7 linked regions of the Sus scrofa genome follow. The protein of the gene in region 7 purifies or fractionates together with the protein of the main gene of each other region. This does not show direct contact. Links are inferred from orthologs where the notes say so. Each region holds a gene or a part of one and is shown on either strand. Other genes may lie near its edges.

The links.
Region 1: the proteins of COPS6 (region 7) and KLHL15 purify together in Homo sapiens (affinity purification with mass spectrometry; 3 studies listed by BioGRID and IntAct, with this or other methods). This does not show direct contact. The link is inferred for Sus scrofa from reciprocal best matches to the Homo sapiens genes COPS6 and KLHL15.
Region 2: the proteins of COPS6 (region 7) and RFWD2 purify together in Homo sapiens (affinity purification with western blotting; 3 studies listed by BioGRID and IntAct, with this or other methods). This does not show direct contact. The link is inferred for Sus scrofa from reciprocal best matches to the Homo sapiens genes COPS6 and COP1.
Region 3: the proteins of COPS6 (region 7) and DCAF8 purify together in Homo sapiens (affinity purification with mass spectrometry; 3 studies listed by BioGRID and IntAct, with this or other methods). This does not show direct contact. The link is inferred for Sus scrofa from reciprocal best matches to the Homo sapiens genes COPS6 and DCAF8.
Region 4: the proteins of COPS6 (region 7) and KLHL42 purify together in Homo sapiens (affinity purification with mass spectrometry; 3 studies listed by BioGRID and IntAct, with this or other methods). This does not show direct contact. The link is inferred for Sus scrofa from reciprocal best matches to the Homo sapiens genes COPS6 and KLHL42.
Region 5: the proteins of COPS6 (region 7) and DCAF4 purify together in Homo sapiens (affinity purification with mass spectrometry; 4 studies listed by BioGRID and IntAct, counting the BioPlex papers as one, with this or other methods). This does not show direct contact. The link is inferred for Sus scrofa from reciprocal best matches to the Homo sapiens genes COPS6 and DCAF4.
Region 6: the proteins of COPS6 (region 7) and DDB2 purify together in Homo sapiens (affinity purification with mass spectrometry; 8 studies listed by BioGRID and IntAct, counting the BioPlex papers as one, with this or other methods). This does not show direct contact. The link is inferred for Sus scrofa from reciprocal best matches to the Homo sapiens genes COPS6 and DDB2.

Annotation. Positions count from the first base shown.
Region 1 is NC_010461.5:20,112,591-20,116,090, forward strand, and holds part of KLHL15 (kelch-like protein 15), read right to left. Parts: intron 2,755-3,500; 5' UTR 2,748-2,754; coding exon 2,043-2,747; intron 1-2,042. UniProt on the Homo sapiens protein: Substrate-specific adapter for CUL3 E3 ubiquitin-protein ligase complex.
Region 2 is NC_010451.4:117,967,769-117,971,268, forward strand, and holds part of RFWD2 (E3 ubiquitin-protein ligase RFWD2), read right to left. Parts: intron 2,263-3,500; coding exon 2,145-2,262; intron 1-2,144. UniProt on the Homo sapiens protein: E3 ubiquitin-protein ligase that mediates ubiquitination and subsequent proteasomal degradation of target proteins.
Region 3 is NC_010446.5:90,235,418-90,238,917, reverse strand, and holds part of DCAF8 (DDB1- and CUL4-associated factor 8), read right to left. Parts: intron 3,196-3,500; coding exon 2,525-3,195; intron 1,354-2,524; coding exon 1,213-1,353; intron 25-1,212; coding exon 1-24. UniProt on the Homo sapiens protein: May function as a substrate receptor for CUL4-DDB1 E3 ubiquitin-protein ligase complex.
Region 4 is NC_010447.5:45,937,888-45,941,387, forward strand, and holds part of KLHL42 (kelch-like protein 42), read right to left. Parts: intron 3,127-3,500; coding exon 2,933-3,126; intron 1-2,932. UniProt on the Homo sapiens protein: Substrate-specific adapter of a BCR (BTB-CUL3-RBX1) E3 ubiquitin-protein ligase complex required for mitotic progression and cytokinesis. The BCR(KLHL42) E3 ubiquitin ligase complex mediates the ubiquitination and subsequent degradation of KATNA1.
Region 5 is NC_010449.5:96,312,760-96,316,259, reverse strand, and holds part of DCAF4 (DDB1- and CUL4-associated factor 4), read right to left. Parts: intron 2,780-3,500; coding exon 2,700-2,779; intron 1,377-2,699; coding exon 1,278-1,376; intron 1,157-1,277; coding exon 1,059-1,156; intron 218-1,058; coding exon 44-217; intron 1-43. UniProt on the Homo sapiens protein: May function as a substrate receptor for CUL4-DDB1 E3 ubiquitin-protein ligase complex.
Region 6 is NC_010444.4:15,342,114-15,344,367, forward strand, and holds the end of DDB2 (DNA damage-binding protein 2), read right to left. Parts: intron 1,559-2,254; coding exon 1,394-1,558; intron 1,249-1,393; coding exon 1,144-1,248; 3' UTR 902-1,143; coding exon of another isoform or gene 852-901; 3' UTR 501-851; downstream 1-500.
Region 7 is NC_010445.4:8,001,536-8,005,501, reverse strand, and holds the start of COPS6 (COP9 signalosome complex subunit 6), read right to left. Parts: upstream 2,801-3,966; 5' UTR 2,762-2,800; coding exon 2,698-2,761; intron 2,486-2,697; coding exon 2,360-2,485; intron 2,150-2,359; coding exon 2,018-2,149; intron 1,402-2,017; coding exon 1,313-1,401; intron 1,216-1,312; coding exon 1,153-1,215; intron 844-1,152; coding exon 796-843; intron 720-795; coding exon 605-719; intron 517-604; coding exon 424-516; intron 327-423; coding exon 226-326; intron 119-225; coding exon 1-118. UniProt on the Homo sapiens protein: Component of the COP9 signalosome complex (CSN), a complex involved in various cellular and developmental processes.

The sequences.
Region 1 (3,500 bases), on a different chromosome or scaffold from region 7:
GTTGCTGTGGCTCTGGCGTAGACTGGTGGCTACAGCTCCGATTTGACCCCTAGCCTGGGAACCTCCATGCGCCATGGGAAGTGGCCCTAGAAAAGGCAAAAAGACAAAAACAAACAAAACAAAACAAAAAAAAACTTGCAGATTTCACTGTGGCCAGGGCCTTACTTGGTTTTCCTAAGAGATTATTTAACTCAAGATGGAGGCCTTAATGACATTTTTATTCTGATGAAATTCCCAATACCTGGCCAATAAGTAATAACCACCTCCTATGTTATATATGCAAACAGAATCCATCAGAAGATACAACTGATGCTTTATATGATTTACAAAATTACTCCAAGGTGTTAACTTTCAGCCACTGTCACTACTGACCACCCTGAACTGATAGTTGGAAAATAAAAAGGCTCTCTAACTCAGCCCTTAAAAAATCACTTGCTGCTAACAATTATCTATCACGTTGTCCTACAAGAGGGAAAATTTTATTTTCTACTGCACAAATACTTCCATCTAGACTAAAGTTGGGAGGGAGGTTTGTTTTAGTAGTGGGGAAGCACTTGCATCTAACATATAAAGACAAAACAGGATTTCCCACACAATGAGAGCAATAAAAACAATATTAAGGAAAAAAATCAAAACCTAAGAGACAAATGATTTACATAGTTGATGAGGGGCTGACTATCACTGAACCAAAAATAATTAAGAAATGTATTCGCAGACGTGGCTCAGATCCTATGCTGCCATGGCTGTGGCGTAGGCTGGTAGCGGCAGCTCTGATTCAACCCCTGGCCTGGGAACTTCCATATGCTGTGGGTGCGGCCCTAAAAAGACCAAAAATATATATATATATATATTCTTTAGCTTAAATTATTTCTGCTCTATCAGTACATTCTGAGAATAAAGGATAAAATCCCACAAAATTTAGTTATCCATTAAAAGTATAAGTTAATGCTATTTCACAGCATTTCAGGAGGAAAAAAAAAGACATGCCAGGCGGCTGTTATCTGAAGGTGCAAATCTGTTTATTTTTCAAATGGTGTAAACAAACCTCCTTTGCAAACACTGTATTTTTATCACCAGGTCTGGTAACTAAAGCTGAGGAACTACCTCACCTGAAGGGTGTCGACCAAAGCTGTAAGTATGCTTTCTAGAAAGAAGAAAAGATGCAAGAGGTAAACAGAGCCCCAGAAATAACCATGTGATTAGAAACCAATTAAGTTAAGCAATTACTGAAACTGCTTTCTCCTCTTTGGGCAAGAAATGATCACAAGTGAGAGTCTGATATAAAAATGAAAAATGCTTATACGCAAAAAGGTCAAGGCAGTTTTGGAGAAAGACAATTTTAAGATAGCAGAACTATTACACGGTAAAATGTGCAAGGGGATGTTTGATCAATGTAGATAGGATTTATAGTCTGTTAAGAAATGCCAAAACAACGGTTTTAGACATAAACATGTTTTCATGGTTAAACTTAGTTAGTATTCACAGTGAAATGGTGGGGGTGGGGTGGGGAGATGGGAGAACTAGGTAAGAGAAGGGAAGAAAATAACCACCAGAGCCTGCTGGTTTTCAAGAGCTATTTTACATTTCCTTACTACATTTTAGAGGAATACGAAACTGTGTTAATGTTTTTCATTCAGAACTACGAAACTTCTCTCAACTCTAATTTCAGCATGTATCACTTAAATTAAAATTAATTTTTAAAAAGAGAGCTAGACTGACCCAGTTCAGATTTAATTACTCTGTGAAAAGAAAGAAAAGTTAAAGCAAACTTATAATATTTTGAATTAAATAATTATGCTTCAACTTTAAAAGTGCTTTTAAAATGAAACTACTCTACCACCTACCTGGTTCATCTTTTACCCATAAAATGTTTTAAAAAAACGTAAATGCACAACAAATTAGACTTCTTACACATAAACTATTCTTAAAAACTATTCATTCTCTTTTTGGCTCCTGACCAAGCCTGGGAATCTTATCTATAAAGACACACTGCCTTATTACCTAAATTGTGAGTACTGTCTATTGCTTTCAAATGCACTAACCTTCTCAAAAACACTGGATGGGGTCATCAAACAAAACCTGATGTTCTGAATGATGGTATCGGTATGTCTCCAGCGTCTTCTATCATGCCGCAGCCAAGACTGCACAGCCTCGTACAGCTCTATCTCTGGGAACCTGCTCAGATGATCATTATCCAAGTAAGACATGAGCTTCTCAAAGCTCAGATAAGACAGGAAGTCAGGCCTGGACATGAGTGGTACAAAGTTGTCTAGCAGAAAGGCGTCCAACTTCTCCCTGACTCCCTCGATGTTTACACCGAAATCATCTAAGAGTCTCATAATTTCTGCACAATTTTCTAAGCAGATTTTCGCTAATAGAAAAGAGCAGCAGAACTTCACCACTTCTATAAGCTGAACATACATGGCAGCCTGAAGAATCTCATGAACAGTACTCATACTCAGTTCTATAGTTCCATAATACATAAACTGAAGGACGTGACTGAAACCTGTAGCAGTAAGACCTTTTAAATGAATTTTGTCCTGATCTCGCTCTCTCATGTCTGCAGTAAACATAATTCTGAAGTAATCACTCTGGGTGGCCAAGAGTGCTTTATGGGCTTGGAACTGATGATCTTCAATAACCAGAGTGACATCAAGAAGCAATCCCTCCTCATACAGTGCTCTGAACCCAGCAGAGACACTGGTGTCATGGATGGAGGAACAGAATCCTTCCACGTCCCCTGCCATGAATCACCTGGAAAAAAAAGTAATCAAAGAAAACTGTGTTAATCATTTCCATGCATTCTGAAGACATTATTAACTTAGAACTTAATTTTTATAATTATCTCAATTCCACTGCCTAGTTCCTACATGTATAAACTATTTGGGAGAAAACAACTTAAAGGTTTGCAGGCTAATATTTTTAGCTTCGCTACCTGGGGAAAAAAAATCTATTAAATATCTACACAATAATGGTAAATTCTTAGTTTACAAATATATGCCTATCCCAGTGACTTTACATTGTTTATCAAATACATTTAAATATGTCCCCAAATTATCAACCAAAATAGATTTCCCAAATACTAAATGATGAGAAAAAGAGACAAAAAAGAAATTAAACCAAAAAGTACACTGTTGTCCTTGAAAACTCCTAGAAACTTGCCCAAAGGAAACAATCAGATAAATCTGTCAACTTGCACACACAAGAGTTTTCTTTCTAGCCTTATTTATAACAAAAAACTGGAAACTATTCAGAAGCCCAGTGACAGAAATAAATATGGCGCAGTCTTATAATGGATTACTGTAACAACTAAAAATGATGGCAGCAATCTACCTGCTTTGACAAAGGATATTTATCAGGTATGGTTATGTGGAAAAAAAGCGGACAACTGTACCATACTCAGTATGTTTTTAAAACTTAAATACACACATATATACTTAGATGAGGAAAAAGTCTAGAGGAATATATACCAAAATGATGTCTGAGTAGTGGGATTTCAG
Region 2 (3,500 bases), on a different chromosome or scaffold from region 7:
CCTATCATACAAAGACAGGATTTGAATAAAACACCATGTTTTTGTTTCCTGCTGAATTTCTGTTACAAAAGTAGGATCATACAACCTACATTATTTTGTCAAGAACGTCTTCCTCATTCAATAATTTATATTTTTTATGTAAAAGAAACATGTTTCTATATCTTTATTAATGATTACACAATAAATCATCTGTTCTCTTACTCTAACATTCATAGAATAGGGTAGACCATGCTAATGTTTTACATAGATTTATTTTATTCAAAGATTCACGACATAAGTAGTATTATTAGTTCCCCTTCAGAGGTGAGGAAATAGATTTGAAGGCTAAGGATAATTTCAGGGTATCACAGCTAGTAAATGGTAGAGCCAAGACTGAAACTGTCTTATTTCAGAAGCCAAACTTCAAACTCTAGGTACTTCTCTATTGCTTCTATTCACTTTCAACATACCATCTATTCCTAGGCATTTATGCTGTTTTAAATTGTCCATTGCTTAATAATATTGCATTGAAAATCCCTTTGTGTGTATTTATTGTCCAAGAATTCAGAGGTTGAAACAATATGTATATACTTTAATATTACTTTCCAGTATTTCCAAATGTACTTGTCTCAAATACTTATAAACATCAATTACGTCCAAGAGGTAAATCATCGTAATTTATAAAAACTAAGAAGGAAAAAAGACTAGTGAATATATAAACAACAAATCCACATTAAAAAGCTCAACTGAGATTTCCAATGTATATAATTAACTAGTTGAAATCAAACTAACTGATTCAACATTTATAAGTCTGAAATTTAAGAAAAATATTTTTGCCATATAATCTATCATTCACATTTGAATCTGAATAATATTTTAGTTATTTACTACCCATTATTATTTCTAAAGATGGGATACTTTTTGACTAGTTACTACTTACTTTAGAGTTGTGAACTAATTGCCTATATTAATTCCCCTTAGAAAGCTCAGCCTTTTCTTTTTTCTCCCTTTTTTGGTAACTCAATTCAAATGACCTCAACTCAAATTACCAAGTTCTTATTGAGAGCAACCCGCATGGTGGGCGGTCCCCACTATTAGGCACTGGCATTAATAATCTCCTAAGGGATATTAGAAACCACGTGAAAAAAAGAAAAAAGGAAAACAGTGTAAGATTAAGCTTGAGAAGAAAAAAGGAGATTTACTAGAAAAAAGAGAACAGTGAAATGGATGACAGAAAGAAGGGACTGTCTGTTAGTAGAAGAGCTTGGTCCACAGTATTTGAGCAATGAGATTTATTTATCTGGTTGTTATCTTGTTACTGCCAAACAAAATAAAAGACAACTAAAAGCTTATATTATGATTCCCTAGTTCAGAAGGCTTCTCGAAGGACATCTGTCAGGTGTAAGCAGTCATATTTAGAAAGTTCTTTTCAGAACATATTTAAAACTCACCATGAAATCAGAGGAAGATCAAGTAACATGGAAATGGAATAAAAAATGTCAACCAAGGAGTTCCCATTGTGGCTCAGCAGAAACCAATCTGACTAGTATCCATGAGGATGCAGGTTTAATCCCTCACCTTGCTCAGTGGGTTAAGGATCTGGTGTTGACGTGAGCTGTGGTATATTTCACAGATGTGGCTCAGATCTGGTGTGGCTGTGGCTGTGGCATAGGCCAGTGGCTACAGCTCAGATTTGACCCCTAGCCTGGGAACCTCCATATGCCATTGGGTGCGGCCCTAAAAAGACAAAAAAAAAAAAAAAAAAGTCAACCAAATATTGCTTAAAAGCAAAAATACTACTACCCTATTGCAATGTAGATTAATGTATAATAACCTATTAGTAGACTTTAATAAATAAAACACTTCTCATTCTATTGCATCAACTATATTGTTTCTCTTTTTATAAGGAAAGGCTGAAATCTAATCTGAGGTTCAAATGTTTAAGGGGGCAACACTAAAAATAGTATTATCAAGATTTTATTCACAAATAACACAGAAGTGAGCAATACAGACGCAAATATACATATGCTCTCATTACACAAGTTACAAAAACCTACTATTTAAGAAGAAGTGCATGCACCACAGTGTTGTTACTCTTTACAAAACCCATGGCGGGTGACGTTACAAACACGTTAAGCTCAACTTCTGAAAAGAGTAATACTCACGCAGACACAATTTCCTCACCGCTCACAAACTTTGCGTAAGAGACTGCTTTTCGGTGTCCTTTGAATACCATGATTGGCTGTTTAGTGTTACGAAGATCATAGTAGTGAACACAGTGATCTACAACAAAGCAAAACAAAAGAAAACAAAAAGGGAAAAACGCAGTATATGAAAAAATGGTTTTGATATTTTTCATCAAATGTTTCAGAGACAATGTCAAATCTATAATGGCCAGACAACTGAAGGCAATGACTCATTTTCAAAGATAAGAAGATGTAGTAGGTTTTCTGTTTTGAACCCAGGACAATACAGTTGTATAAAAAAGTATATACACGTACGCTCATGTCAGTCTGAAAGGGAGTTTCACTGATATTTCTTGAGATCCTGGCTCTAGAAAGAGTATTAAGGGTTTAAAGAAACTGAAAGTTTTTAAATATATCCTTATATTTTGATGGCTTTATAAAAGAAAACATTTTGGACTTCTGATTAAACAATATGTTAATAATTTTATTTCTCACATTTGCCTTCTAAAATACATTTTCTTCGTGTTTCTGCTGTGGTGCATTGGGCTAAAAATCTGACCACAGTGGCTCAGGTCGCTGTGGAGATGTGGGTTTGCTCCTCACAGTGGGTTAAAAGCACCTGGCATTGCTGCAGCTGTGGTGTAGATTGCAACTGCAGCTTATATTCAATCCCTGGCCTGAGAATTTCCATGGGTGCAGCCATAAAATTAAAAGAAAAAAAAAAAAACTTAGAAGAAAACCTTTGCAACTTTGGGTTAAGTATAAGATATATTTTCTTGAGATACACTTTACATATAATAAAAATCAACTTAAAGCATACAGTTCAGTGATTTTTAGCAACTTAACCCAGTGTTGCAACCAACACCATAAATTAGTTTTAGAACATTTTCCTCATCTCAATAAAATTTCTCATGCCCACTTACCACCCACCATCCTAGGCTGTATTTTACCTCTGTAAATTCATCTTTTCTGGACTTTTCACATAAATGGAATTATATAATGTATAGCTTCTTACACTTTACATAATGTTTTTGTAGTCCAAATTTTAACATGGGTCAGCAGTTTATTCTTTTCTCCTGCTGAATAGTATATAATAAGTAGATATACCACATTTTGTCTAGTTTAGGGATACTGTTTTCCATTTTTTCAGTTATCGTGAATAATGCTGCTATGAACAATCATGTTCAAACCTTTGTGTGGACATTGATTTAGGTCTCAGGTTGATACCTCGAAAATGTAATTACTGTGTCATGTGATAATTTTGCGTTTAACTTTTTAAGAAACTGACAAACTGTTGACTGCACCATTTTACCCCACCAGCAATATATAATGGTT
Region 3 (3,500 bases), on a different chromosome or scaffold from region 7:
GGGAGAGTCTGGTTCCAGGGCCAACTGAAAGAGAAAAAAGGAACAGTTGGAGTTCCCATCATGGTGCAACAGCAATGAATCTGACTAGGAACCATGAGGTGGTGGGTTCGATTCCTGGCCTTGCTCAGTGGGTTAAGGATCGGTGTTGCCGTGACTGTGGTGTAGGCCACAGATGTGGCTTGGATCCAGCATTGCTGGCAGCTGGGAACCTCCATATGCCACAGATGTGGCCCTAAAAAGCAAAAAAAAAAAGTCTCAGCCAGAGAAATGCCTACCTCTTTTGTTGTAAAATCCCAGGAAAGAAGATAATTTAATAAATTAATTCTTACTCTGTATGTGAATTATTTACAGCTTGTTTATTTTATACAAGGCAAAAGGACAGATGATTTTCTCTTTTAACTAAGTCCCCAAGGGATATATAAAGAGTGATACCAAAAGAAAACAATGACATTAGGGCTCATTCTCAAAATCAATTCCATATACTAGGGATGGGGGAGAAATGGCACCCAACTTTTATTCCTCGCATCTTAGTTCGAAAAATTAGTTATCTACTGTGTTGGGGGTAGTCTCAAGAATCAAATAGGTAATTTTCATATTTCCTGAGCCATGTGGGCAAGAAAAGCATACTCCAGGTCCACCTATATAGTTGCTTAGGGTTGTAAACAGAGGGGATCATCCTCCTTCCATGGCGTGAAAGAAAACAGTGCCTACTTGGAGATAAGGCAGTTGCTGGCTCCTCACTGGCTGCCATGACTATTTGGCCTATATTCCTGCTCTAAATAGGCTTCCAGAAATAGTGCTGTTTATGCACTGAGAGTTGTGAGCAGAAAAGTTGAAGCTCTCACATATGAGAAGTCAACAGCTAGCACCTTGGAGCTGTTAAAATGTTCTAAATACAGAGTAAATTTTAAAGGCTTGGAAGGCATTGGAGACCTCAAGGATCTCCAAATCAACTATGGCTCAGCTTGGGAGTCAGGTATCATCAGGTGAATGCTCCATGTGCAAGATATAGACATCTCTCAAATACATGCCTTCTGAGAAGTTTAGGGTAGCTGCTTTTTCTCCCATCTTACCTACAAATCTTAGGACTGAAAGAAGTGAGGCAGGTGACCCCAACAAAGGGACACAATGTACAGATACTGACTGGAGGGCCTTGGCGGAGACTCACAGAGAAGCGGAACTGCACAATCTTCGCAGACAGGGCTTACTTACTTTGTGGGATGCTCCCTTGTGCTGTGCCACACGCTTCGTATTCTTGCAGCACTGTGTAGCAGACAACTCTGCTACCCGAACCTGCCCATCACGGGCACACATGGCCAGGGTAGAATCACCACTGTTAGGAAGGAACTTGGCCTGGGATATTAAGAATAAAAGAAAGTACAAGAGAAATAAAAGCACATTTGAGAGGGAAAAGTGTGATGACCACCCCAAATCTCCCCCTGTTGCTGCACGATAGCTGGAAACTTAAGACCTCCTACTCTTTTATAATTGGCTCAAGTCCAATTTCGTCCAAGGGATAAAGGAGAGGAAGAGAAAAAAACTTCTGATATAAGAAAGCACTTCTGTTGATTCCAAAAGGTTGAACTGGTACAGGGTAAGTGCTCAGGTAAACTAAGACTATACCTACTAGGAAAGAAAAGGAAAAAAAGAGAAAAATCTTCCTTGATTCAGAAAGTAAACAAATTTTCTACAAAGAAAAAGGAAACTAGAGGGGATACTGGAGAAGGAAAGAAACCATGCTTAGGGATAAATAGCTAGACTATATGATAGATGGGGCTGATAAGTAAAACCTCCAGAGAATAACAATGTCAACTAATATTTATCAAATGTTTGTTAAGTACCAGACATGGTTCTAACTGCTTAGCTTCTATTGTTATTTAATCCTCATAACCCTCTTTTTTTTTTTTTTTTAAATGGCCACACCAGAGGCATAGGGAAGCTCCTGGGCCAAAAACTGAATCCAAGTCACAGCTGCAGCAATGCTGGATCCTTTAACCCACTGCATCATGTCAGGGTCCAAATCCGGGCCTCTGCAGGGACCCAAACTACTGCAGTAGGACTCTTCACCCTCTGTGCCAGAGCAGGAACTCCATCACAACCCTCTGTGTTATTAGCCCCATATTATATAGTTAAAGAAACTGAAGACAGAGATTAAATAAATGTACCCAAGATCACACCTCTAGTAAGGAGTTGGGCCAAGATTTAAACTCAAGTAGTCTGGCTCAAAAACCTCTGCTCTTACACTATATCCCTCCTAAGCAGGGCATTTAGTAACTTCCTAACGATTTCCAAGCACCCTATTATAATGAGGCTTGCAATACTCTATGTGCTCAAGGAAATAAAAGGCTGCCATGGGTCTTTCAGTGTATTTAGTTCCTCTAACTCATTATGGGGCCAAAGTAGGACCAAGCCCTGATATCTAATTCCTACCACAACTTGCTGCCACTCCTACTCCAGTTAGCAGCTCAGGTTTGTCTAACACATGCCTGATTTTCCCAACTGCCAATGTGCTCCCTTGCCTCACCTGGAAGACATTGCTTTTGTGGCCACTCTCAAAGTCCAATACTGGCTGTCGCCGCACCCAGTCCCAAACCACCACTTTCAGGTCATCGCTGCCACTGGCCAGCCAGGTGCCGCGCTGGTTAAAGTGCAGGGTATTAACACAACCAGTATGGCCCTCAAGCCCATGCTGCAGACGGAAACGCTGCACAAAGACTCTTGCCCCACAAGCCTCATACACAAAACGGGCACTTGAACCCAGCTCCCGCTCCCGAAGAGCAGGAAGGGCTTGCCAGCGAGGTCGGGGCAGGGCTGATGTCTCTGAGGCTACCCAGTCCTCCAGGGCTCGCTCATCGTCGGATGAGTCCTGATCACGATTGGCCCGCTTGCGCTGTACACGGCGACGAGGATGCTCTTCTTCCTCCTCTTCTTCCTCCTCCTCTTCCTCTGAGGGGTCATGGACTTGGTTTTCATCATTGATGGAGTAATGGCCAGTGTCCTCCATGCTGTCAGAGTCCTTGTCTTCACCTGAGCTCTCTGTATCCGTGCCTCGACTTTCTGTGCTGGTGCGATTGGGGCCACCATCATCCCCAGTCAAGCTCAAGCTCAGGTCTGAGGCCTCCACTTCAATGCCTGAGGATGTCTCTCTCCCTTCCTCAGCACCAGACATCTCCTCTGGACTGCTAGACAGGCTTCCTGCATGTTAGTGAGGAATGAGTAGATGGGGGGGGGGAAATAAGGAAATAAGATAATGATCAGAAGAATTTCCCCTCCTTAGTCAAAAATAATCATCACATCAAAAGACCCAGAAACCAATTTTGGTCAAAATGTTTCCATTACAAATATTTATAAAGAATAGCTTCTGGAATTCCCTTCATGGCTCAGCGGTTAACAAACCCAACTAAGAGCCATGAGGATACAGGTTCGATCCCTGGTGCTGCTCAGTGGGTTGAGGATCTGGCATTGCATGAGCTGTGGTGTAGGTCGAAGACACAGCTCAG
Region 4 (3,500 bases), on a different chromosome or scaffold from region 7:
TCTTCCTTACGAAATTTTTAGAAGTCTCACTTAAGAAGTCAGCAGGCTTTGAACCCAACTTCCAGTCCTGAATTTTCTTTTTTTTCTTTTGTTGTGACAAGGATGATTTCTTGTCCTGAAGACAAAGAACTATTAGGAAGAGCCCCAGCAGAGGAGGAGGGAACTTCAGACAAGTAACTGTCCTCCTGCCCCCGCATCATAGAAAACTGGTTTCCAGCCTTTACACAAACAGTCATCCATCCACATTGCCTAACCGTCCCATTGTGGGGACTTGGCTTGGGGAAACCAAGATGGGACTCACTGTGGGTGGTCCAAGGGAAGATGGTACATGAGTCGTGGCTTGTGAAACTTGAAAACACACATGCCAGGGTTTTCCAGGTCAAATCTAAAGAACATTTGCTCAGCTGGGGTCATGGAAAAACTAGGAAATCTACTAGCAAAACTGGTCTTTGGGCTGCAGGGCAGCTGTCAGTGCTTCCCGGCTCCTGGTTGGAAGAGAAGCCAAGGGGTGTGTGTGTGTATTGGGTCAGCCCACAGCGGCGTGTGCTGTGTCACAAAATCTAGGGAGGAATCAGAATTCTTAGAAATGTTCAAAAGCAAATAACTGTATTTACTTTCCTCGGAGAGAAGACACACAGATACACACAGAGGTACATGTTCACACAGGAATTCTCTGGGGTCTATGGTTAAGTCTATAACATTGACCACTGTAACCCAAACACCAATGCTAAAGGTAAAAGAAATGATGGCTAGGACATCTTTCTACAATTATTCATAAAGGAAAATCCAGTCATTATCTTATCATCAGTGGAGAGTCACTGCGGACATTGGGAATAGCTCCACAGATGATGAAAACGTGGAGTGAAAAGAAAAACCTCACTGCTTCCCAGGTACCCCTCTTTGTCATAGCCTCTCCCTAAATGCGAAAGTCAACATACCACCTGTAGGGAGTTGAATGGTGGCCCCTCAAAAGATAGGTCCACTTTCTAACCCCCAGAAACTTCGGATGTGACCTTATTTGGAAGAAGGGTCTTTGGAGATGTACTTAAGGATCTCAAGATGAGATCACCCTGGATTCCCCAGGTGGGCTCCAGACCCAGTGATATGCATCCCGATAAGAGACAGAAGAGGAAAGGACACAGATACACATGGAGAAGGCATGAGGAGATGGAGGCAGGAGCTGGGCAGCCTCTAGCCAAAGAACTCCGGGAGCCTCCAAACCTGGGAAGAGACAGGAAAGATTCTCCCCTAGAGTCTGCAGGGGGAGCGTGACCTGCCAACACCCACTGTAATTCTGGCCTCTGGACTCCTGAACTTAAACAACAAAATCTAAAAGATCTAAAAGAGCGTGCCTTTCTCTTGCTTTAGGCCACCTCATTTATGGTCATTTCTTAGGTCTGCCACAGGAAACTAAGACACCATCTACCACTGTCCCCACCAAAGCAACTGTTTAGAGGTACGCTAAGAAGTATTCATGAGTATCTTTTGCTGTCATGGGAAAAAAAAAAAGTGCATCAGATGCTCGTAAAATATCTTACATTTAACTTCTTCCTCTAACATACATCCCCCAAACAAGACACATTTTGGTTTCGGTGAAAAGAATTTTTGCACCTACACTACACTATTATGATGTGGATTTCTGGTCTTTCCAAAGTTATAAAGGGTTGAATGGAGCCTAATGGGGCCATCAACATCATTTCTCCACGCCTGTTATCAGCCAAGGAGGGGGGAGGACTGTCTTGCCCACAGGTCATTTCACTACATCAAATATAATGGTAACTCTTCTACTGCAATGTAGCTAAAAGTCCTAACAGTCCAGTTATGCCTCTTCTATAACTTCTGAGCATTATATAGTCAGACAGAAAATAAACTGCCTTGACCACGAGAAAACCCGGACACCACTGCTTTAAGTGGGGGAAGAGATAAGAGGAAAGGCACATCTATTCTTGGTGGCCCATCATGGTCTTGATTACTGTTGATAATAGAAAACCAAGCTGTGGAGTTCCCACTGTGGCTCAGTGGGTTAAGAACCCGACTAGTACCCATGAGGATGTGAGTTCAATCCCTGGCCTCACTAAGTAGGCTAAGGATCCAGCATTGCTACAAGCTGTGGTGTAAGTCAAAGACACGGCTCGGATCCTGCATTGCTGTGGCTGTGGTATACACTAGCAACTGTAGCTCTGATCCACCCTAGCCTGAGAACTTCCATATGCCATAGGCAGAGCCATAAAAAGGAAAAAAAAAAAAGTAGAAAGAAAACCAAGTTGTGATATGCTTCCTACCAGGACCCACAGTATAAAATCTGCTAGAGAAACTTCATTTTCAAATGACTAACTATAAAATGTCCCCCCCCCAAAAGCGAAAAACATATACATATGGTTTAACAGAAATACAACCACCTCCGAGAGCTGGTCAGGAAGAAATTCTCTTATGTTCACGTTCTTGCTCCGTCTACTGTGTGCGAATGAAAGCTGAGGCCTGAATTTCTGGGATCTGTATCCTATATGTTTGTGCTCAGATACAAGGGAGAGAGTGAAAACAAAGACCTCCAAGGATGCTCTGGCGCCAAGTTCCATAGTGCTGGACAGGGCGGATTCAGGCTACATCTGGGAGAAGTACGGAGTTATATGGCCTGAGTCAGGAGATGCCTGACGGCGGGGTTTCCAGAGCAGGAAGAGAGTACACGTTTTCTTCACAGCTCCCCCATCCCCCATTCAGTTTTCATGCTCATGCAAAGGCATCAAAGGCCCCTCCTGCCCAGACCACCCCTGCCATACAGGACGCTCTTCCTTCCAGACATGTAAATGCAGTGTACTTAATCAATGAAATCACACTGCTGAACACCAGAGCATTTCCTGCAGCCCCTCCTGCCCTCCCCGAGGCTGCCAAAGCTCACCTGTAGGAAGACCACCTACGAGTCCCCTTCACTTACCTCTGGTGGTATATCCTCCGATGACATAAATTTTCCCCTGACACTCACAGGCAGAGAACTCAGCCAGAGGGTTTGGTAAGGGTGCCATGAAATTCCACGCATCCTGCTCAGGGTTATAACACTCAACGTTAGAAACGGCCTGCCCGCCAATGGCATAGAGTTTTGAATTTACAGCCACGAGTTTGAAGTTAGACCTGAAAGAGAGACACAAAGGCCCAAGAAATCAGTTCTTTTGGATCATTAATTGGAAGACAACGGCATGACCTGCTAAAGCAGTGTGTGGAATCTGCTGGGTATTTGCAGAAAATAAGCTCTCCGAGCTGGGGGCTCTTCTGCCTGGGGACAGAGGGATGACCCCATTGCATCTCACATTTCACTCTTATCACCAAGAATCCGCAAGAACAGTGCAGTATCCAAACTTCAGCTATCGAAGATGAGCAATTCAATATACCAAGAACTAATCTCGCTTAGCTTAAGCTAAGAACCAAAGACACTCTGTAGATGTTAAACTCAGTCAATAGCTCTTTCAGGAGGGGGAGCAAGCCCCCACCCCACTCCCTCGTCTCCA
Region 5 (3,500 bases), on a different chromosome or scaffold from region 7:
AGAGCCAGCGGCAGTGGCTGCACAAAGTCAGTGGTACCCATACCGTTCCAGCCATGTCGGATGCCATCAGGCACTGCTCTTCTTGGAGGATCCGTACGGAGGTAACTGCTGAATCATGGAACAGGTGGGTGGCTTTCCAACCCTTGCCTTGATTTCGACAACGGAGATCAATGGCAAAGATTTCCCCGGAACGACAGCCATTAAACAGCAAAGGAGCCTGCAGAAAGAGGGACTGCTCGGTACCTGCCCCAAGGCTGGGAGAGGTGTGCCCTCCAGAATACAGCCCCTGCCTCCTCTCCAGCCCCTGGGTCACAGGTACAGGTGCAGACAAGCTGGTAGGGTTTGAGCCTCAGTGGTTGGAAGGGCTCCTTATGAAAGTTGTCAGAAAACTGGATGCTACCTGTTCTATTCCTCCAGTGTCCTCCCTGCTGGCTGCAACTGGTCCCTAAGGCCTCCCCTTGAACCCCTCCCTGTGAGGTGATGGTGCTCTGTCTCCTCCCAGGTCATCAGTGAGAAGCTGGGGGGTGAGTGTGGAGTAAGAGATGAGAGATCCAGGTAAGACCTGGGCGCCCCGAGAGAGTGGCAAGATGGCTCAAAACCCTGAATAATGAACTCTGTGCTTACTGCCCAAAGCAGGTCAGCACATCTTCTGCACTTTTAAAGAAAGATGGCATTTTCTACAGGTCAGGCTTTTGAAATGTAGTAATGACTAGAATTTTGACTTTTAAATTTCTAAAATGTGTACCTGACAGCTGCATATAAGAGTTATGAATTGAGACCTAAATTACTTGTCCTGTTGGCTAATCCAAGTTCTCAAGAATTGCTAACAATTCATTTAACTGAAAGCTGTTTCAAGTCAGCTGAGCCAGGCCTTTCTGGATCAGCCAAATTTCATTTCGTGCCGACCTGTTCTCCAAGTAACCCGTTGCTCCTTCTGATGCCCTCTCCTTCCCTGTGAAAGAGGGAGGAGGACCAGCGGCCCCTCGGCGCAATCCCACTGCAATCCAGCAAATGTCCACCTCTGGGGAACTGTATTATGCCCTCCCCCTCCAGCTAACCGTGAGGGCAAACTGCTGGGCCAAGACGTCACTGTTGGTCCCAAATGACTGCCGGTGTCCGGTCACCACGCTGGTCACCAGGACTCGCCGAGACAAGCCTGACGGAGGTGGAAAAGACAGACAGTGTCACCGGTGTTCTGGGGAGAGGGACTCTGGGCAGGGGCTTAGGGGCCCCGAGATCCTTCACCCTGGGCACCTGCGGGGGCAGCGGTGGCTCACCTGTACTAAAGCAGTTATTGGCCTGGATGTTCAGGGACCACGCACAGGACCAGGCCCCGGGGATCCGGAAGCTGCAGAGCATGCCAGGCCGGTCTCCGCCTGCGGAGGGAACAGGGAGTGTAAAACGTGGCTGACCTCCACGGCTGGACATCTGCCCTCCACACTGCCAGGCAGTGACCAGCAGGTGTGTGAAACCTCCAGGAACAGCTGCTCGGAGGGTCCATACCGTGGCCCCATTCTGGGTTTTGTGGCAGCAAAAAAGAGGCACTCAGGCCAGGTGCCTGGCTCAAAAATGGTTATTCTGAGAGTAATACATGAATCTTCCCTGACTTCCCAGCAGCAGTGTTAGAAATACTAACAGCTATCACGGAGGCTGTATGATGTCACAGATAAGAGGGTTTCAATTCTGGATCACACTATTAACTGTGTGAGCTCATGCAAACTCTTTTTTTGAATACGTTTTAATTGATAAAACGTACATCAAGGACACAAATCATGGTATACAGTTTAATGAATAATCTCAAAGTTAAGTACAGCCAGCCATGTGGCCACTACTCAGGTTAGAAAATGGAACATGCTAGTACCCTTCATGTCCTCTCCCAATTACTAGCCTTCCCACTACTCCTCATAGGAAGCCACCACCCTGACTTCCAATACCATCTCTTAGTTTTGTAAGGCAAATTCTGAACCTCTTTTGGCTTAGTTTCCTCATCTGTAAAATGGTAATAATATATACTCCTGCCTTACAAGCCTGCTTTATGATGAACTGCTAGGCACCAGGCTAAGTGTGCATTAAATCATTTAATCCCCCATATAACCTGAGGGTAGATGTTACTTTACAGAGGTTAGGCAATCTGTTCAAGCTGGTAAGGGGCAGAACTGGGATTCCTGCCAGGTCTGTCGGAAGCCTGCAGTCGTAGAGGCCTGATCCTTGTCTAATTGATCCTAATTCACGGAAAGACTGAAAACTTAATGTCCAGCATGCTGCCAGGCACCTGGACTGCCTTCGGCCAGACAGAACGTTAAGCATCCCCGACAGCACCTGCCATACTGTAGGAGCGTAACAGATGTTCTCGGGACGATCTGTGCAGGCAGCTCAAATAAATATTCTTATCTCATGTACTGGTAACATACACTTTTAACTGTTCTGGTTGCTAAAACGATCCCAAAGGAGGAAATAAGTGAAGATGCACATGCTTCTAGCACAAATCCTGGGTCAGGTTTAAGGAACCTCCCAGGTGCCCCTGCAGACTATCCCCAACCTCCCAGTGTGGCTTTGGGCTCACGTGGCCCACGGCTCCCACCCCTCCTGTCCATGTCAGCACCGCAGAGCTTAGGCTGGTAGCTGCAGGTCCTGAGAGGCAGAAGACAAAGATGACCCTCAGAACACCTCCTTATCCAAAGGAAAAGGACCCCCTGTACCTGGATGACTACTGACAAACAGTGACGCTGGGAGCAAGGTGGCACAGCCTGGAGTCTCTGCAATTCCCATGAGACACAGCCTGGAAAAGCTGTTAAGGATAGTCAAGTACAAGGCCGCCTCTGGGAGGAGAGTGGGCATCAGTACCTTCCAAAAAAACGTAAGAGTAATACCCATCACCCACATTTAACACGTTTACCTCTTCCATATTTAGTTTTGGATTTTTTTTTTTTTTTTTTTTTTTTTGGTTTTTTAAGGACCGCACCTGTGGCACATAGAGGTTCCCAGGCTAGGGGTCCAATTGGAGCTGTAGCTGCCAGCCTACGCCAGGGCCACAGCCACACGGGATCCTTAACCCACTGAGTGAGGCCAAGGATCAAACCCACGTCCTTATGGACTAGTCATATTTGTTTCTGCTGAACCATGATGGGAACTCCTGTTTTTTTTTTTTTTTTTTTTTAAGGCAGCAAACAACGTGAAAGATACAGTGAAAAGCCCCCCCCCCATTTTTTTGTCTTTTTGCCATTTCTTGGGCCACTCCCGCGGCATATGGAGGTTCCCAGGCTAGCGGTCTAATCAGAGCTGTAGCCACCGGCCTACACCACAGCCACCTCAATGTGGGATCTGAGCTGCCTCTGCAACCTACACCACAGCTCACAGCAATGCCGGATTGTTAACCCACTGAGCAAGGCCAGGGGTTAACCTCATGGTTCCTAGTCGGATTCATTAACCACTGTACCACGACGGGAACCCCAGAAAGGCCCCTTTTAACTTTATCCCACCCAGAGAGAATCGCTACTCTG
Region 6 (2,254 bases), on a different chromosome or scaffold from region 7:
GAATCTTTGGCCAGTGGCCCAGAGGACACAATTTTGCCCCTCAGTGTTTGTTTTAGTGGGAAAAACTGCATGGTATTGGGGGTACAAACATTGGCCATCAAGGGACCAGGTCACCCAGGCATCAGCCGGCCAAGTTTTCCTTTGTCCAGCTGAAGCCACAATTAGGGCAGACATAATGCTTCCAGCATCTTTGTCACCCCTGCACCCTGAGCAGTTTGGATGTCTGGACTTGGGAGAGATGGGGGAAAGCGGGGAGCACAATGAATTGTGGTACAGAATCATGGAATTACTATCCCTCTCAGCTGGGCTAGGACCTCCAGGGACCCAGGGTAAATGCACGCTGTGAGCTGAACAGCTCTTGACTGTGGCCCAGAATAGGGCTGAGACAGCTTCCAGAGAATGAAGGTTTTTGGACTCAGTGCCATTTCTGTGCCTTTTCTTCATCTGGGGGACCTGAGACGCCTTTTGACCAAGTCAGTGCTGGAAGATCCACTCCAAAACTCAGTTGGGTATGGTTTTATTGGCCATGTGAATAGTGAGCACACATCAAAAACTACTACCTGACCCTCTGGCACTGCGTGTCAGAGAAGAAAAAGAGAAGCTTGGCTCCAGGAGCTTGGCTCCAGGCTAGATACAACAGGGACCCTCAGAGCAGCTGGGTCGCCAACTCTGGAGAAGTTTCTGGAGCTAAGTCCAGAGCAGTACATGCCAGTGTTCCAGTCCCAGTGCCCCTGCTTCAGCCCTAACACTTGGATACCTTTGGCCCTTCAACACAAAGCCGCCTCTTCTCGAAGAACTTGTTCTCATATGGCTCCAAGCCCTTGCTTGGCCCCCACCTCCATAAATGTCTCTCATTTCCGCATCCCAGCTTCCTCCTGGCTCCAAATGAGAATGTGATAACCTAGGAGGAGTGAAACCAATCTGACTTGCACCTTCCATTATCACCCTCCGAGAACTTGGGGCTGGCCCGAGGAACCTAAGACTTGGTAGGGAGATACCAGGAAACTAGACAGCAGCCGAGCATTGCTGTGACCAAGGCAAAGCAAGAGGGATGAAGGGCCTAGGCCAAAGAGACCACTGTCTCCTGGTTATCTTCTTTGCTGTCTACAACCCTGGGGTGAAGGCAGTGGGGCTGGGCTGAGGTTAACCTGCACAGAACCTAGGGGAGTAGGGTGGGCTTGACCAGCCTGAGACACACTCACCCATCACAGAGGCCAGCGTGTCCCCCATGAGATTGAACTCATTGAGCTGCAGAGACAAGGGGGTAAGCATGAGAAGGGCGTGAAGGTACTGGGAGAAGGGCACATGAGGACTAATTTCTGGTCCTTTTTGGTCAGTAAGGTAGGTTGGGTCCCTGCTTTCTCCCACTATTATTTAAGGGCCCAAGCCTCACCGACATGATACCAGAGGATTCTGGGTCATACAGCTGATACATCATCTTTCCTGAGCTTCCATCAAACACATCGATTGTTCTTAATTCGTGAGGGGTACAACTTTTGAAATTAGGATCTGGGTATCGGCCCACGACAATGAGGTTGTACCGAGGATGCCAGGTTGCCTAGGAGATGAAGAGGCTGGTCACAAGAGTAAGTGCAGAATACTATCAAGAGGGACATCGAAAGTAATCTTTACCACCACCACCATTAATACAACTGCCAACCATTTAATAACGAAGAGAAGACCTACATGAAACGACAAAAACAGTTTGCAAGTGCGCGTGCATCTACCACTGCAAACCTGAAATCCCCAGCCCGCCTCCCTGACCCTTAGGACACCTTCAGGCCTTCTCTCTCTTTTGCATTTCCTGAGATCATACCAGCTGATAAATGTTTTAACATCAGCCCCACCCAGACATTAACCAGAGAGGTGAGCCTATATATAACAACAAAGCGAAAAGCCTCGGGAAACCAAAACCAAATAGGACGTACGTTCTGAGGTCATCACACTGTTCTCCCACCTCCATCGGCCTGAATAGTGAGCTGAGTAGAAAATGGCTAGTGGCTGAGAAGGGGGAGGATACCTGTGTTCCCCAGATCACCCTGCTCAAAACAAGTCTGGCAGTTACTACAATGACAGAACCCGATGGGGTTTTCCCCAGAAAGCGTTACGAGGAAGTTTTGAAGGAGAAAAGACGTGGTTGGTAGGAAGAAAGGAAGAAGTAGTACAAACAATGGCTTGGAAAGGACTCACACCTGGGATGCTCTCTGTTGGCCTGGCTGGATACCAAGTGGGAGATGAGGACGGAGGATCCGTG
Region 7 (3,966 bases):
GCCTGCCGATGCCTTGTCGGTCATAGAGGACGTTGAACTTGTTCACGAACTGGTTCATGGTATTGCACGTTTTGGTGATGGTGCCTAGGTAGGCCATGAGTCCCACGTCATTGCATTGCTGCAAGGAAACAAAGAACCAGTTTCCCAGGGGCTCTGGCTCCAATGTCCTGCATGCAGAAATGGTGGCATGAGCCCCACCCTCCTGATCCTGGGCTTTATACTCACATCATAAAAGTCTGTCTTGAACTTATCAGTGCTGAGCACTGGGAGGCAGTGACACAGAGCATAAGCCTCCCGCAGGATCTCATGGTTAAAGGGGACCTCTCCTAAAGGCACAGCAAAGGGCTGCATTAATGTGATACTGTTGCTTCCCCAGGAAGGAGAGAAAAAGTGGTTCAAGTGTCAGGGGGACACCTGTCCTACCTGCTTCAGAGGCCTTGACATACTCCAAGATGAGCTTGACGCGGCTGTGCAGCATCTTGATGGCGCTGTGCTGCGCAATCAGGTGTTCCGCCACTACACAGGGTCAGGCCAAGGCTGAGAAGGCATGGGGCCAACACGTCCCACCCCCCGCTGCGAAGGAAACCCCTCCAGCCTGCATTACCAGTGGAGTTCTCTCCGCTGCCTGTTGCTGTCATTCGGGCCACATGATCTACACCAATGCGTTCAGCCTCCTCTGTGGCCAGGGTATAGGTCAGCTCAGCAAAAAGCATCGTGGCCTACAGGGCACAGAGAGAGAGTCAAAAGCAGGAAACACCGGGAGCAGGGTCTGAGAGTTGAAGGGTATGGCATTACCTCTCCATTGATGATATCTATAACAGACTCAAAGACGCTGACCGGAAGCTGTAAAGAGGAGATGGGCGAAGAGCTCTTAGTAACAGCACACGTACCTGAAGGGCCCCAAACCAGGCTTGGCCCTTTCGCATTCCGTTTTTCTATGTCCCCAAGTTACAAGTAGGAATTATCCCATTTTAGTACATGGGGGAAATGCAGTTTAGAGGTTAAATGACACCCAAAGTCTCAGCTGGTAAAGAGAAGGGAGAGTCAATTCAACAGAGGCGATACAGTAAAAAACAGGATGAGAATTAAAATCTGGGTAGGCATAGCAATGGACAAGCAGGACAAAGTAGCCACGGGCTCAGTATTACTCACATCTGTGTGCTTAGTCATAGGGTTCAACTTAAGAAACAAAGGGCTCTCAATTATCTCGCACACCTGGAAGAGGGGGCAGATGCACCTGAGTGCCAGGGCCCATTTTTCTCCCGCTCATCCTCTGTCCTCCGCCCCAACGTGCAAACGGAAGTGTGTATACCTGCTTATGGACGTGGATATCAGAGGGGTCAGGCGGTCCCCCTGTGGTATACCAACCCAGAAACTCCAGCTCCTTGAACACCTGTTTAACTGAGGAGGAAAGGGCCAGAGCACAGAGTATTTTTTTTTTTTTTTTAAATATCGCTTCTTTAATTTGAAGCTCCTGGTGGATTTTAACCAGCTTCTCCCCATCCCATCCCGGCTCAGTTTAGAGTAAGTCATCTCTTCTATCTTCTCCTTACTTTGTGGGAAGTAACCAAATATGTTCTTTTTTTTTTTTTTTTTTGGTCTTTTTTCCATTTCTAGGGCCGCTCCCGCAGCACATGGAGGTTCCCAGGCTAGGGGTCCAATTGGAGCTGTGTCCGTCGGCCTACACCACAGCCACAGCAATGCAGGATCCGAGCTGCACCTGCGACCTACACCACTGTTCATGGCAACACTGGATCCTTAACCCATTGAACAAGGCCAGGGATCGAACCCGCAACCTCATGGTTCCTAGTCGGATTCGTTAACCACTGAGCCACGACGGGAACTCCCAAATATGTTCTTTTTTAAAGATCTCTACAGCTACCTTCTCGTCACTTGGCCTCCATTCTGCTCATCTCCTGTTTATTTTTTTCCCCCCAACCCTCTCCACCTTCCCTATTCTGATTTTCTTTCTTTTTTTAACTCCCACTCCTCTCCCCCACCTCTATTCCCCTCTCACACTGCTCCTCCTTGGTGTAATAATATTCCTTGTCAATGATAATCTTCTCTTCCACGGTGTGGGACAGCAGCTCAAAGGAGTTCATCACCTCGATATTTCGGCCCTCCTGCTTCCCGATCAGAGCCCCAATCACTGGAGGAGAGGACACAAGAGGTGAGGGTAAAGAATCCTGAAACTTAGTTAAATCAGTATAGCCTGAGGGTCTGAGGTCAAGTGAACCCAGTACTAGGGAAACGGGTGGTTTGCGGCGGAAGAATTGGCTTCAGCAAAGGAAAGGGAAGGACCACCGTTTGGGGGAGATGACCAGGAAAAGAAGGCCAGAGAATTACGCCGAACACTCACCCTGCATAGGCCGCCCCTCCTGGGAGCGCATGCGAATCCAATGGTCTGAGATGTTGAGAATGACGAGGGGGTGAAGGGCGACTGAAACACTGCCAGTCACTCCGGAGGCCATCACGCTGGGGACGACTAAGCAGTTGGAAGAGAGGGTGAGAGTCCGGGTCCCACGTTCCCCCCGGGAGATGGGAGGGGAAGCCAGCAGAGCCGGGCCATACATCCCTCCCGCAAGTTATCCCAGGGAACGCGCCGCTGACCCGCCCTCCCGACTTCCCCGGGAGTCCAGGAAGGCCTTGACGCGCCCCAAGGGCGTCTCCAGAAGCCGCTCCCTCCCGGTCGGTTACCTGCTGCATCCACCTCCATCCCGCTGCTCCCTCCGGTCCCGTTCGCCGCAGCCGCCGCCGCCATTTCCCCCGCGCCCGCCAGTGTCGGCCCCGCCCCCTCCCTGCCGGCTTCCGTAGGCAGCAGCGCATGCTCAGTGCGGCCGTGGCGCGCGCCTGCCCAGACCCGCGCAGGCAGCCCTGGGTCGGGGAGAGCCGGCAGGTCTTAGTAGCCCTCTCGCCTGCCTCTGACCTTGAACAACTTACTTAACCGCACCCTGATCGTCCTAAAGTATACTGGGATTAGACTGCCTACTTTGTAAGGCTGCTGCAGCATGAATGAAACTTCATGTTGTTGCCCTCAGAGTAAAAGCCACACTCCTAACCACCTGCAAGACCCTGTAAGATCAGACCCCTGCCCGCCAGCCAGCCCTGGCCTCTGCTTTTCTGCCCTTTGATCGCCGTGCTTCAGCCACATTGGCTCTCGTGTCTGTTCCTTGCACACGTCTCACTCATCCCCACCGAAGGGCGTTCTGTCGCCTTTATCACTGTAACACGTGATCAAAACTACCTGACATATGGGCACCTAAATGATTTCTTTTTCGGGCCGCATTCACAGCATGCAGGAGTACTCGCACCAGGGACGGAACTCACGCCACAGCTGTAATCAGAGCCACAAAAGTTCAAATCCCGCTGAGCCACAGGGGAACTCCATAAATGATTTTTGAGTGAATGAATGGTTTGCCAGTGGAGCCTGGTCCTGAGTGCCTTGGTCTACACATCCTTTCTTTCCTCCTTCCACCTCATTACCTACAGCACTGAGAACATCCCTGGCATTTTCTAACCCCTCCCAACTTCCCTCTACCCTCCGTCTCCGTTAGTCTTTCAAAACTCACTTCTGGGAGTTCCCGTTGTGGTCAGCAGGTTAAGAACCCAACTAGTATCAATGAGGATGTGGGTTCGATACCTGGACTTGCTCAGTGGGTTAAGGATACAACGTTGCCACAAGCTGCAACAGAGGTCACGGATTGGGCTCAGATCTGACATTGGCTGTGGCATAGGCCAGCAGCTGCAGCTCGGATTCGACCCCTTGCTTGGGAACTTCCATATGCCAAGGGTGCGGCCCTAAAAAGAAAAAACAAAAAACCACCTCCGGCAAACCTAGCCCACTCCAGCCCTCTCCCCACCCCTACACCCGAGCAAGTTGTGTACACTGCCTTTACCCTGTCTTGTCGCCCCTACAATTTGGCTGGTTCTTTAGGTGTGTCTGTAACACACCCAAGTGTTAGCTCC